Linked DNA regions of Macaca mulatta. The protein of the gene in region 1 interacts with the protein of each later gene in a pairwise test. Links are inferred from orthologs where the notes say so. Each region holds a gene or a part of one and is shown on either strand. Other genes may lie near its edges.

Evidence for each region.
Region 2: the proteins of PRPF31 (region 1) and MID2 interact in binary tests that used the Homo sapiens proteins (3 or more experiments, as listed by UniProt). The two-hybrid records come from large-scale screens. The link is inferred for Macaca mulatta from reciprocal best matches to the Homo sapiens genes PRPF31 and MID2.

The regions. Positions count from the first base shown.
Region 1 is NC_133424.1:66,349,006-66,355,932, forward strand, and holds part of PRPF31 (U4/U6 small nuclear ribonucleoprotein Prp31), read left to right. Parts: intron 1-1,813; coding exon 1,814-1,897; intron 1,898-2,493; exon of another isoform or gene 2,494-2,498; coding exon 2,499-2,596; exon of another isoform or gene 2,597-2,683; intron 2,684-2,785; exon of another isoform or gene 2,786-3,414; coding exon 3,415-3,521; exon of another isoform or gene 3,522-3,720; coding exon 3,721-3,890; exon of another isoform or gene 3,891-4,185; intron 4,186-4,462; coding exon 4,463-4,620; intron 4,621-4,783; exon of another isoform or gene 4,784-5,236; intron 5,237-5,695; exon of another isoform or gene 5,696-5,820; intron 5,821-6,927. UniProt on the Homo sapiens protein: Involved in pre-mRNA splicing as component of the spliceosome. Required for the assembly of the U4/U5/U6 tri-snRNP complex, one of the building blocks of the spliceosome.
Region 2 is NC_133426.1:114,594,455-114,602,126, reverse strand, and holds the start of MID2 (putative E3 ubiquitin-protein ligase MID2), read right to left. Parts: upstream 4,098-7,672; 5' UTR 3,467-4,097; coding exon 3,463-3,466; intron 1-3,462. UniProt on the Homo sapiens protein: E3 ubiquitin ligase that plays a role in microtubule stabilization. Mediates the 'Lys-48'-linked polyubiquitination of LRRK2 to drive its localization to microtubules and its proteasomal degradation in neurons.

The DNA.
Region 1 (6,927 bases):
GGCACACGGAGGACGCGTCTGATCAGTCCCCGTTTACTGGAGGTGCACGAGTGCTGCGGGCACACGGAGGACGCGTCTGATCAGTCCCCGTTTACTGGAGGTGCACGAGTGCTGCGGGCACACGGAGGACGCGTCTGATCAGTCCCCGTTTACTGGAGGTGCACGAGTGCTGCGGGCACACGGAGGACGCGTCTGATCAGTCCCCGTTTACTGGAGGTGCACGAGTGCTGCGGGCACACGGAGGACGCGTCTGATCAGTCCCCGTTTACTGGAGGTGCACGAGTGCTGCGGGCACACGGAGGAGGCGTCTGATCCTCCCAGACAGGGAGGGAAGGATTCTGAGTCACTGCTGGAGTCTTAAGGACTTAAAGAGCCTTTTGAGCATCAGGGTTAGGAACACATTCTGAAGCCACCCTGCTTGGGGTAAGGTCTGAGCTCTGCTGTCTACTGGCGGTGACATCAGACAGTTAGTATTTGTATGACATTTAAACACAACATCTTTTTGTTTGTTTTTTGAGACAGGGTCTCACTCTGTCACCCAGGCCAGAATGCAGTGGCACGATCGCAGCTCACTGCAGCCTTGACCTTCTGGGCTCAGGTGTTCCTGCCTCAGCCTCCCAGGCAGTTAGGACCACAGGCATACACCACCATGCCTGGCTAATTATTTTTTCTTTAATTATTTGTAGAGATGGGGTCTCCCTATGTTGCCCAGGTTGCTCTTGAACTCCTGGGCTCAAGCAGTTCTCCTGCCTCAGCCTCCCAAAGTGCTGGGATTACAGGTGTGAGCCACTGTGCCTGGCCTCTTATTACTGAAGCACAAAGAAGGGTTTTCCAGAAACAGACATGGGGTAAGGGATGCTCTGGGGAGAGGGAACAGCATATGCAAAGGCCAAGAGGGGCCTTGCATGGTGGCTCATGCCTGTCGTCCCAGCACTGGGTGGCCAAGGCTGGTGGATCACCTGAGGTCGGGAGTTCGAGATCAGCCTGCCCAACATGGTGAAACCCCATCTCTACTAAAAATACAAAACAAGTTAGCGGGGCATGGTGGCGGGCGCCTGTAATCCCAACTACTTGGGAGGCTGAGGCAGGAGAATCACTTGAACCCAGGAGGCGGAGGTTGCAGTGAGCTGAGATCGTGCCACTACACTCTAGCCTGGGCAACAAGAGTGATACTCCATCTCAAAAAAAAAAGGCCAGGAGGAGTGGGTGTCTGGGGCACTGTGACCAGTCCTTTATGGCTGGATGAGAGGATGGGGTGGGAAGGGTGGGAGGCCAGACCGCAGAGTTGCTGAGTCAGCAGAGAGGAACTGGGCAGCTCCCTGTGTGCCAGGTGCTGTCCTGAGTACTCGGGTGTGGGTGTAGATAACGCAGGCACAGCACTGGTCCCTGCAGAGCTTCTGGAGTTGGGCAGGCCTTGAATGTCAGTCTAGGGACTTGGTCATTAGCCTTGGGGCTATGGGGAGCCATAGGAGGTTTCAGACGGACGGTCAGTTCCAGGGCAGGTAGGGTCAAGTCTAGACTGGTGTGGAGGGAGAGGGATTGGAGGCAGGAACACAAGTTCAGGGATGTCTGCAGATGTCAGCCTGTCGCCTGCTTTACTCTTCAACCCCTCCTTCCTGACCCCCTCCAGCCTCGTCCTCCGCCTCCTCCAGCTGCAGGATCTGGGAGGCAGACGTCAGCCTGTCCCTGGTTTACTCTTCAGCCCCTCCTTCCTGACCCTTCCCAGCCTCATCCTCCGTCTCCCCCAGCTGTGGGACCTGAGAAGGGGTAGGGATTTATATCCTCACACCCATGCCACTCCGTGTCCTCACAGTGATGGGACCGGTGGAGGCAGCGCCTGAATACCGCGTCATCGTGGATGCCAACAACCTGACCGTGGAGATCGAAAACGAGCTGAGTGAGTGCTGGGGGCAGGCGGAGACAGCCCCCTGTGACGCCCCTCATGCCCCCTCCCTTCCCCACGGGCCTTTCCCAGGGTCCTGCCGCTGAGCCCAAGCTCAGATCGAGGTTCACCTGCTGTAACGGAGTGGTGTAAGTAAGAAGGAAGTGTGTTCTCCCTCACGTATGAGTCTGAGCGAGCACTCGGGGACGGCGTGGCTCCCTCGCGTATGAGTCTGAGCGAGCACTCGGGGACGGCGTGGCCGCTTGGCTGCCCGTAAGGCCCCAGCCCTTTCCATCTTGTTGGTCGGCCACCTGCCTCGTGGTGCGAGGGGACTGCCCCACGTCCAGCCGTCGCCTCTGCATTCCCACCAGCAAGGCACTTCTTTTTTTTAAGAACATGTCACTGCAGCTCACATTTTACAGACCAGAACTAATTCCCCTGGTCACACCTAGCGGTAAGGGCGGCTGAAAAATGGAGCCTGTATGCTGGTGCCCGTATGCCAGGCTACAAGCCAGGGCTTCAGTTACTAAAGGAAGAAGGGGACGTGGGTGTTAGGGCCAACCAGCAGAGTCTGCCTCCCGTCTCACCTGACACCCGCCTGTCCCGTTTACCCTAGACATCATCCATAAGTTCATCCGGGATAAGTACTCGAAGAGATTCCCTGAACTGGAGTCCTTGGTCCCCAATGCACTGGATTACATCCGCACGGTCAAGGTGAGAGCAGAGGAGGAGCGGTGCTTCTGCTGGTGTGAAGGTGCAGGCAGGGCTCACTCTTGGACCCGCCCCCAGAGGCCTCGGGGTCTGGAGGTGAAGGAGAGGAGTGGACGGAGGCTCAGTGGCCTGCTCTGCCCAGGGTGAGAGGGACGGAGCCTGGATGGGACTTTCTCAGGGCTCCCCTCGTACCCCAGTCTCCCGAGAGGGCTTCCCCGCTGGCCTGACCCGCGCTGCTTCCGCTGTGGTCGGAGCCGGTGGCATTGGAGTTGACATCCGAAGGTCGTCACAGGGCAGGCACGCGGAGATTTGGGGGAGAGAGATGTGTTAAGTATGGAGAGCCGGAGAGGGAACAAGCGGGGAGGAAGTGAGGCGGGGAAGGAGGGGACGCGGAAGAGGTCGGATCACACTGAGCCTTTGGGTCTTATGAGAAAGCCAAGGAAGGGTTTCGGAAAAGAGGGGCGGATGCAGGTGAGGGCAGGGAGAGGAGGCGGTCCCCACGTGTGTCCGGGAAAGGATCAGGATGGTGGTGGGGGAAGCCCCCGCAGGGAAGCGAGGCCGCGGGTTTGTGCTCCGACTCGACACAGGCAGAGGCTTGTGAGGCCGCGGTCTTCCCAGACGCTGCTCTGCCCAGGTTCCGTTTCCAAAGCAGAGCAGACGGTGTGGATGCTTCAGGCGGTGGAGGCAGGAGAGGCCCCCAGTGTAGAGACCCTGACTTTCCCAGTGTCCCCGAGAAGAGACCCGAGTAGGTGCAGGGCCAGAGAGGCTCTCAAGCCTTCCTGAGTTCCTGAGCCTCCCCTGTCTTCTCTGCTCGCGCCCAGGAGCTGGGCAACAGCCTGGACAAGTGCAAGAACAATGAGAACCTGCAGCAGATCCTCACCAACGCCACCATCATGGTCGTCAGCGTCACCGCCTCCACCACCCAGGGGTATGTCCGCTGGAGGGAGGCGCCGGGCCCGGGCCAGTGGGACTGGGGATTAGGCTGAAGCTACCCACGCAGGTGGGCATACACACACACGCACACACACACACACACACACACGTGCACACACACACAACTGAGAGGGTGGGTGCTGGGCACCAAGCAGGCGGGAGACCCAGGAGGCTGGGCCCACCCGCCCCTGCAGGCAGCAGCTGTCGGAGGAGGAGCTGGAGCGGCTGGAGGAGGCCTGTGACATGGCGCTGGAGCTGAACGCCTCCAAGCACCGCATCTACGAGTACGTGGAGTCCCGGATGTCCTTCATCGCGCCCAACCTCTCCATCATTATTGGGGCGTCCACGGCCGCCAAGATCATGGGTGAGGCCCTGGGCTGGGTCCCATGGAGCGGGACTCTGCTGACACTGTGATCTGGGGGAAGCTGCTTCCCTTTTCTGTAGAATGGGGACTTTGGCACCTGGGCCTCAACACCCCGTCTCCCTGGACGTGACAGAGGTCAGCCAGCCTGGCACACAGCAAAGCCTCGTCTGGGAGAAACACTCACCCACAGCTCCTCCTCCCTCCCCTGTGCCGGAAAGCCAGAGATGACCACACCCAGGCCCTGTTGTCAGGGGGCTCCTGGTTTGGTGAAAATGGTTCCAAAACACAGACATCCCTGGAATGGGGGTAGTGTGGCTTAGCACAAACGTGGTGGTCAGTTGCCTGTTGGGGGCCTCCTCCCTGCACCCCAGGCCAGCTGCCCTCCCTCTCTGAGCCTCCTTTGCGTCTGCCCCTCGCGGAATGGGCCAGGTCGCCCGCCTGGCAGGGCCACCGAGGAATCCAGCCAGAACCTCACGTAAAGGTGCTTGGCACATGTCGAGCCCCCAGGCAGATGTGCGCACCCCCGCCTCCCCCGCTTTCTTCTGACCGCCCCTGTCCTCCTCCCACCGCAGGCGTGGCCGGCGGCCTGACCAACCTCTCCAAGATGCCCGCCTGCAACATCATGCTGCTCGGGGCCCAGCGCAAGACGCTGTCGGGCTTCTCGTCTACCTCAGTGCTGCCCCACACCGGCTACATCTACCACAGTGACATTGTGCAGTCCCTGCCCCCGGTGAGCCCACCGCGTCACAGCCCCTCCCCCGGCTCCCCTGGAGCCTTCCGCCTGCCCAGACGGCCTGAGCAGCCACCCCCACCATCTGGCCCAGCTGACAGTAGCACTCAGGAGCCGGGGACAGGGTAGCATGGGATGTGAGAGCCAGGGTTCTGCAGCACACCTGTCGGGTGACTGTGGGCAAGAGGCGTGAGTGCCCTGTGCCTCAGTCTCCTCCCCTCGAAAATGGGAGCACAGCGCCTGCTTCACGAGTTGGGGCGAGGGCTCCATGTAGACGAGGCCCTCACAAGGCAGGCCTAGCTCACGACAAGCAGCGTCGGGTTAGCAGCTGCTCCGAAGGCCACCGTCACTGGAAAGACACGGAACCCCTGAGGGCTGCTGTGCTGGGGACTGTATAACAGATTAACATTAGCCACAGGGAGAGACACACAGGAGGAGCAGGAGAGGTCACCAACCTCGGAGGGCGATGTGTCCTCTCCCCGCAGTCAGGACACATCACCCTCCCGGCATCGATGCCTGACAGCACACACAGGGCCGCCAGCCTCACACCCGTAATCCCAGCACTTTGCGAGGCCGAGGCGGGAGCATCACTTGAGGCCAGAAGTTGAAGACTAACCTGGGCAACATAGTGAGACCCCGACTCTTTTTTTTGTCTTGATTCCAATGGGATTGGAAACACCCTGTCTCTACAAGAATAAAAAACCCGGTGTGGCAGCGCTTGCCTGTCATCCCAGCTACTTGGGAGGCTGAGATGGGAGGATACTTTGCGCCCGGGAGGCGGAGGTTGCAGCGAGCCAAGATTGCACCACTGCACTTAAGCCTGGGCCAGGGACGCTTGCCTGGGCCGTGGTGTTCAGTCTTTATTGTGGCTCTGCTGTGTAGACACGACTGTGTTGCCGTGTGGCTGGTCTGTCTCCAGGTCAGGTGATGCCCCATAACTCAGAGCCCCCACGCTGAACCACGTGGTTGGGCTTTCCTGCGTGGCCAGCCCCAGGCACCCTAAACCACACTGTGGCTACCCCAGGGCCCCAGCCAGCAAGGACCGCCACCCAGGACCCCCGGGCAAAGGCCAAACCTCTTCCTGGGCAAGGCGAAATTCTCTGCCACGCGGAGCCGCTGCCAGTGTTATTCCTGTGACTGTCATCTTCAGTATCATTTGATTCTGTGGCAGCGAGTTTCACATCATCCTCCTGATGTCTCCTAGAACACAGGTCATCTCCCTTCAGTGGCACAGACCATGAATTTCAGTGACACAAAGACGGTGGTTTTTATTTTAATCACTGCATACTTATTTTTATTGAATAATCTCCCATTCGTGGTAATGAAATTAAGCTGTCTAAACAGGTTTGCAGTTTTTAAAAGCAGACTAAAAGAAAACATTGACGACTGGTTATCATCAGAAGGCATTTTAGTCATAGCAGTGGTGGGAAAACGCGCAACAAGCAGAGCTGGCTGTGAGTGGAGCTTTGGAAACATTTGGTGATCTCATTGAGTCCTCACAACTCTCTCTTTTTTTTTTTTTTTTTTTTTTGAGACGGAGTCTCGCTCTGTCGCCCAGGCTGGAGTGCAGTGGCACGATCTCGGCTCACGGCAAGCTCTGCCTCCCGGGTTCACGCCATTCTCCTGACTCAGCCTCCGAGTAGCTGGGACTACAGGTGCGCACCACTACGCCCGGCTAATTTTTTGTATTGTTAGTAGAGACGGAGTTTCACTGTGTTAGCCAGGATGGTCTCGATCTCCTGACCTCATGATCCGCCCGCCTCGGCCTCCCAAAGTGCTGGGATGACAGGCTTGAGCCACCGCGCCCGGCGAGTCCTCACAACTCTCTTTTTTTTTTTTTTTTTTGAGACGGAGTCTCGCTCTGCCGCCCAGGCTGGAGTGCAGTGGCCGGATCTCAGCTCACTGCAAGCTCCGCCTCCCGGGTTGCCACCATTCTCCTGCCTCAGCCTCCCGAGTAGCTGGGACTACAGGCGCCCGCCACCTCGCCCGGCTAATTTCTTTGCATTTTTTAGTAGAGACGGGGTTTCACTGTGTTAGCCAGGATGGTCTCGATCTCCTGACCTCGTGATCCGCCCGTCTCGGCCTCCCAAAGTGCTGGGATTACAGGCGTGAGCCACCGCGCCCGGCCGAGTCCTCACAACTCTCTAAGGGAGATCCTGTCCCTCCTCTGCCCTTCGCCACCCATTTCACAGATGAGGGAACCGAGGCACCGAAAGTCAGACTTGTCTGAGACCCCGCAGGCGGTGGAGCTGGTCTGAGTCTGGACAGTCCGAGACCCCGCAGGCGGTGGAGCTGGTCTGAGTCTGG
Region 2 (7,672 bases), on another chromosome or scaffold:
AGGGATTAACTAAATCAATTTTATCTAAATCAATTTGCACCGTTCAGATAATATGTTCATAAAGCAACCAAGTCACTCTGATTTACAGGAGTACTTCCCAGAGGTGGCCTTGCAAGGTACAACATGCCAGATGAGAATTCTAGTAGTCATGAAAACAAATAAGAGGGACACGACCACCCTTTCATGTCCCTAGCCTCTACCCATGTCCTGCACAGCCCCTCCGTGACCTAATCCTGGAGCTGCAAGTATGGAGTTTGGCCTGGAACAGGCAGGAGGCCAAAATACTGGGCTAAATCTGGGGCCTCAGCCCAATCAGCAGAGGTCCTCTGCAGATTATAGGTGCTTAATATTGTTGACTCTGCTACTAGGTGATAATTATGCTTATATAGCCATTCCCCAAATTATTTATGCCACTTTTCATTAGAAACTAACAAACTGCCCTCATATAGGCTAAAAATGGGTGAGGTTATGTCTTCAAATTAGTCTGACTCAGATTGTTAGGTTAGAGTGCATTAGATATGATTCAAGCCCCAACTTAAATGGTCATTATTACTCTGTATGCCTAGTTGTATGTATGTTTTCATTCAGTTGAACATGTATTGGAGACAAAACAGATTTAGGACCTAAGTACAATGATAAGATTTGACTCTGGGGGTGGGAGGCTAATAATGCTAAAGTAAGATTTTCAGTAAGCTAAGATTCCTACTTACACCCAGTCAATCCACTAACTCAGTAAAAGGTAAAGGAAGTGCTTTCTTTGAAAAGTATAATGTTGGCCGGCTGTGGTGGTTCGCACCTGTAATCCCAACACTTGGCTTTGGCAGGTGGATCCCTTAAGCTCAGGAGTTTGAGACCAGACTGGGAAACATGGTGAATCCTGTCTCTACAAAAAATTCAAAAATTAGCTAGGTGTGATGGTGTGTGCCTATAGTCCCAGCTACTAGGGAAGCTGAGATAGGAGGATTGCTTGAGCCAGAGAAGTCAAGACTGCAGCAAGCCATGATCACGCCACTGCACTCCAGCCTGGGTGACACAGCGAGACTTCATCTCAAAGGGGAAAAAAAATTATAATGCTGAGGGTTTACAGAACCCTTTCATCTTCAAAGGACCAAGTCAAGACTAACAATACCCAGTACACAATATTATAGCTTTTACACAAGTGCACCAACTAAGAAAGAAAAGTCATAGGAATGTCCTAAAGCCATAAGCCAATGTAACATCAGATTTGGGATGAACTCTGATCTTCTTGACTCCTGGACCTGTGTTTTAACCACTGCATTAGCTATTCTTGCATTGCCTTAAAGAAATACCTGAAACTGGGTAGTTTATAAATAAAAGAGGTAGGCTGGGCATTGTGGCTCTTGCCTATAATCCCAGCACTTGGTGAGGCCCTCAGATCGCTTGACCTCAGGAGTTCGAGACCAGCCTGAGCAATATGTCAAAACCCCATCTCTACAAAAAATACAAAAATTAGCTGGGTGTGGTGGCATGCACCTGTGGTCCCAACTACTCAAGATGCTGAGATAGAAGGATTGCTTAAGCCCGAGGCAAGACCCTTTCTCAAAAAAAAAAAAAAAAACAGAAAAGAAAAGAAAAAAAAGAAAAGAGGTTTAATTGGGTCACAGTTCTGCAGGCTGTACAGGAAGTGTGATGCCAGCATCTGCTTCTGAGGAGGACTCAGGAAGCTTACAATCATGGAGGGAGGCAAATGGGGAGCAGGAGATTCTCACATGGTGTGAGCAGAAGCAAGGGAGAAAGAGAGCTGGGGGGAAGTGCCGCACGCTTTTAAACAACCAGATCTCAGGAGAGATTACTCACTATCACAAGGACTCACAGTCAACCAAGGTGGTGGTGCTAAACCATTCATGAGAAATCTGCCCTCATGATCCAGTCACCTCCCATCAGGCCCCACCTCAACACTGGGGATTACATTTGTACATAAGATTTGGGCAGGGATAAATATCCAAACTTTATCAAACACATGAATCAAGTTGTGAGGAGCAATCAGGAGAAATCTAATTCACATTATATACCCATGTTAAGTTCATTGATTGGGCAGGAATATATAAAAATAGCAAAGACAGTTTCTCCCTCAGTACAGTCATGAGAGGAGACAGACAGGGGGATGTGAGTGTCGGGGGGGTGGGGAGGGGGAAGCTAACCATCTGGGGTAGAATGAAACCACTCCCCAAACAGAAGAAAAGTAGGGGAGGAGAACTCCCTATTCAGCAACTCCCTTCTATTGGAATATTGCCAGAGAACTGATTAGAGTACTGGGACGGAGCAGAATGGGGTTAAAGGCAGCCCTTCTGGCCCAAGTTGAGAATCAGAGGGATCAACCCACACACGGTACTTCTCTATTTAGTTTCCAATATATTCCTTTATAAGGGCTCATCCTCAGAGACACACAACCATCACCATCTATCCGCCCCACACTCAGAAATCCTCAAAAGGCAAAGTGGTTGAAGAAGTAAGATGCAGCATGGCTGGGAGGCTGGGAGGGCACAGGTTGATGGGGAAAGCCTGGGGTCCAAGGCGCTCTAGTGGGGGATTTCCATAGTCATGTAAGTGTTGTGACATAGGAAGGTGAGTGATCATGAAAACGGTAGGGGACAGTGGAAGAGACAGAGAAAGTAAAGAGTAAAACGACTCCAGGATTTCAATTTCCTGCTCTAAGAAGCAACACTTCTGAAAAATAATGTGCAACACACGAAGTGCTAAGTAACCTAAACCTTATCATCACCAGTAATATTCCTGTAAATCTACTCTGCTGTTATTTACTTAATTCTTACAAGGCAGGAATGGAAAATCCCCACTCTCCCTGGTTGCGTCGCAGTCTGTCCTGTGGACATATGTAAGTTTTCCCTCTCCCCCACAGAGCTGGTTTCACAGCTAGGCCAGAAATAAGGAACCATCCAGACGGAGACTCGAGGATCGCTCCCCTGGCAGAAAAGGGATTAAGTTTCACCGGGCCTCCCCGCCGGCAGGGCGTCCGCAGCCACGCCGGCTGCTGCGACAGCACCGCCCGGCAGACGGCCGGCCAAGGGGCGACGCCGGGGACGAAGAGGCTGCCGGCTGCGGGAGCGTGGGAAGGCGGCCGTGCCCTTTCCCAGACTCGCGCCCAGGCGCCGGAGGATTCGCTCGACTGCCCGCGCCCGGCCCGGCCCGGCTGCGCAGAGGCCTCGGCCGCCCCCGCCCCGCACCCCGGAGTGCAAACTCTGTCCCAGGAGGGCAGTGGCAGGAACCCGAGCCCCAACAGCATGACTGGGAGCCGGAGCTGATCTGGGGCCCCCGTCGCCGTCTCGAGCCTCGCGGGCCCCATCACCCTGCCCCGCCGAGCCCGAGAGCCCTCGGCTAACGCCGGGCCCCGGCGGCACCTGAAAAGCGGCCGGAGCCAGGGCCGAGCCCTGCGAGGGCGACGACGCTCGACCTCCAGGGCCGCGGCGAGGGGGCGCGTTTTACCCATAGCGTTCCCAGGTGCCAGCCATCTCCTCTGCTCGCTCGAGGGCGCTGGGCGCTCGTCTGCCTCCGCAGCGGGCTAGCTCGGGCTCCGGCGCGAGCTCCAGGGCCCCGGTCGCCGCCGCCGCCGCCGCCACCACTCTAGGCCGCCGCCCGCCTTCGCTGCAGCTGCCGCTACCGTCGCCGACGCCGCGCAGCAGCCGGGATCCGCCAGCCCGCGCGCCCCGCAGGGGATAGCACGGCGGCCGCGATGCTACCGCGGCTGGGTCTCCCGAGCTAAAGTTAAGAGTTTTCGCCCCTCAGTCCAGGGGCAGCACCATGACACCACGGCAGCACCACACTGTCATTTCCGCCGCCGCAGAGGAAAAAAAAAGGCAATCCCTTCCAAAAGGGAGGCGGAGTGGGGGCAAACGGGGTTGGGGCTGACACCCCAAGGGAGCACTGGGAAGGGCCAAAGAAGAAGGGGCGCTCGGACACCTTCCCAGGCTCACCTTCCGCCGCCCCCGCCACTCCCAGCTCCCCCAGCCCTTCCTCTGGAGGCACGTTTACATGTCTTCTCCCCTGGCAGGAGTGACCGGAGAAACCTGAGCAAGCAAAGGCAGCCGGTGGGTGGGGCTCGGGTTACTACTGTACCTACCAGCTGATTCCAGCAGCCTTTTCTCCAGCGCCCTGTCATCTTGAAGGAAGACACAGAGAGAGGGACCTGGGCGGGTGTGTGTGTGTGTATGTGTGTGTTGTGTGTGTGTGTGTGTGTGTGTGTGAGTGACAGAGCGACAGAGAGAGCAGAATGTGTGTGAAATGCAGAAGGAAGACTATGGCTAAACTCTTCTCCCACTCCCCACTCCTCTGTCCCCCAGCCCCACAAACCCCAGGTTAGAACAAGGAAGAGGCCTTTGCAACCGGTAATAAGAAGAGAGTGCCCGGGTCCACCGCACAGATCCTCTCCATGAAGCTGCTCTATGCAAAGTTAACTACAGAGTAAAACAAAAATAGTGGAGGAGATAGAAAAGGGCAGACAATTGAAGGAAACCCAACCCCTCTTTCTTTTTACAAAGAGAGAATGGCTGTGTTTTATTGGCCTCGGGCAGAAGTTGTGAAGGTGGATTAAAGCCATCAAAAGAAAAAAAAAAAGCAGGATTTTTCTTGTACCTTCAAATTGTTGACCAGTAAAACAAGAGGGTCGTTACCACAAGGACAATGAGGCAGATGCTAGCTATCCAGGTATTCCAGGTCCCTAATAAGCTAATTGGTCCATTTGGAATCCAGCATCCTCCCATTGGTCTGGAGTGACCCCCACTCAAAAGGTGGATGGGAGAGGGAAAGAGCAGGAAGCCCCATAAGAGACTCTGTTTCTAACTTGGGGCAAAAAGAGAGAACAAGGGGAAAGAAATGAGAAAATGAGAGGACCTGCCCCAGCGCGCGCGCGCGCGCGCGCGCACACACACACACACACACACACACACACACACACACACGCCTGCCATCATTGTGCATAAGAACAAGCCCAGAAAAATTGAGGTATCTCTTGGTATATCCCTTCAGGAAACCAATAGTAATCAGTCAACACTCCTGTGAAACAATGTGCTAGAGATCACTGAGGTGGAAACCAAGGCAAAAATCACAACCAGGCTGCCCTGATGAAAGTCTGGCCCCGGCCGGGCGCGGTGGCTCAAGCCTGTAATCCCAGCACTTTGGGAGGCCGAGACGGGTGGATCATGAGGTCAGGAGATCGAGACCATCCTGGCTAACACGGTGAAACCCCGTCTCTACTAAAAAATACAAAAAAACTAGCCAGGTGAGGTGGCGGGCGCCTGTAGTCCCAGCTACTCGGGAGGCTGAGGCAGGAGAATGGCGTGAACCCAGGAGGCGGAGCTTGCAGTGAGCTGAGATCCGGCCACTGCACTCCAGCCTGGGCGGCAGAGCGAGACTCCGTCTCAAAAAAAAAAAAAAAAAAAAAAAGTCTGGCCCCTAAGAGAAGTAAAAGGTAGTGAGTAACACCTAAAGTCCAGGCAACAAAAGCAAAAATAGGTAAATGGGACCATAAAACTTTCAAACATCTGCACAGGAAAGGACTCAATCAACAGAGTGAAAAAGCAACCTACAAAATGGTAGAAAACTTTTGCAAACCATATATCGGATAATGTGCTAATATCCAGAATGTATAAAGAACTTGTATAGCTCAATTAAAAAAAAAAAAAAAAAACCTCTTAAAAGTGGACAAAAGACTTGAATAGACATTTCTCCAAAGAAGATATACAAGTGGCCAACAGGCATATGCAAAGATGATCAACATCACTAATTGTCAGGGAAATGCAAGTCAAACCCCAATGAAATATCATTTCACATCCATTAGGATGGTCACTATAAAAATAAAAATTTAAAAATTTAAAAAAAAAAAAAACAGAAGAAAATACAGCAAGGTGTGGTTCACACTTGTAATTCCAGCTACTCAGGAGGGGATGCTAAGGCAAGAGAGTCACTTGAGGCCAGGAGTTAGAGATCAGCCTGGGTAACATGAAGAGAACGTGTCTACAAAAAATAAAATTAGAACAGAAAATAATAAGTGTTAACAAGGTTGTGGAGAAATTGGAACCCTTGAACACCATTGTAAAATGGTACAGACACTACCCAAGGGAATGTAAACTGGTGTAGCTGCTATGGAAAATAGGATGGAGGTTCCTCAAAAAATTAAAAATAGAACTACTATATGATTAAACAATCTCACTTCCAGGTATATAGCCAAGCAAATAGAAAACAGGATCTCAAAAAGATACTGGCAAACCCATGCTTATAGCAGCATCATTCAAGGGGTAGAAGCAAATTTAATGTCCATCAAGGGATGAATGGATAAAGAAAATATGGTATATACACACAAGGACATATTATTCAGCTTTAAAAAAAGAAGGAAATACTGTCACATGTTACAAAGTTGATGAACCTTGAGGACATTATGCTAAGTGAAATAAGCCAGTCACAAAAAGTCAAATATTCCATGATTCTACTTATATGACTGTCTAAAATAGTCAACTCATAGAAACAGAAAGTAGAATGCTGGTTGTCAGGGACTGCGAGGAGGGAAAAGGAAAGAGTTGTTCAGTGGGTGTGGAATTTCAGTCATGCAGGATGAGGGGGATGTTCTGGGGATCTGTTGCACAACAATGTGCATGTGGTTGACAATATTGTACTGTACACTTGAAAATTGTTGGAAGGATGAAGTTTATGTTATGTGGTTTTTGGCACAAAAATTATTTTTTTAAAAGTTAATGAGTCAGAAGTCTGCTGAACCCAGCCTAATAGAAGAGGGGATAAATAACCTATGTAGCCATTAAAATAATTATATATATGCATATGTATGATACACACACACACATATATATAAGAATCTCAGATATTATGAAATGAAAAAAGCAACGTGCAGAACTGAGTATGATTTCTTACTATTCGCGTAAAGAAGCAGGCAGGTATATGTCTATGAATGCTTGTATGAGCATAGACTCTTCTGAAAGATACCTAAGAAACTGGTTACACTGGTTGCCTGGGAGTCAAGCATAGGAGGAAGTATTTAACATTGCATATGCTCTTTTGTATTGTTTAAGTTTTTTATAATGTTCATGTATTACCTTTTCAAAAACAATTATGAGCAAGGAGCCTGGAGACAGAAAGTAAAGTGGAGGTCACCAGGAACTGAAGGGAGAGGAAATGAGGAATTATTATTTAAAGAATACAGAATTTCTGACTGGGATGATGAAATAATTCTGAAAATAGTGTTATGCAACATTGTGAATGTACTTAATGCCACTGAATTTTACACTCAAAAATAGTTAAAATAGTAACTCTTCGCTGGGTGCAATGGCTCACGCCTGTAATCCCAGCACTTTGGGAGGCCGAGGCAGGCGGATCACAAGGTCAGGAGATGGAGACCATCCTGGTCAACATGGTAAAACCCCGTCTCTACTAAAAATACAAAAATTAGCTGGGCGTGGTAGTGTGTGCCTGTAATTCCAGCTACTAGGGAAGCTAAGGCAGGAGAATTGCTTGAACCAGGGAGATGGAGGCTGCAGTGAGCCGAGATCACACCACTGTGCTCCAGCCTGGTGACAGAGTATGACTCTGTCTCAAAAAAAAAAAGATAAATATTATTTTATGTATATTTACCACCATAGAACAAATCAAAAAAATAAAAGGAGGAGGTCTACAGAACAAGTACAGATTA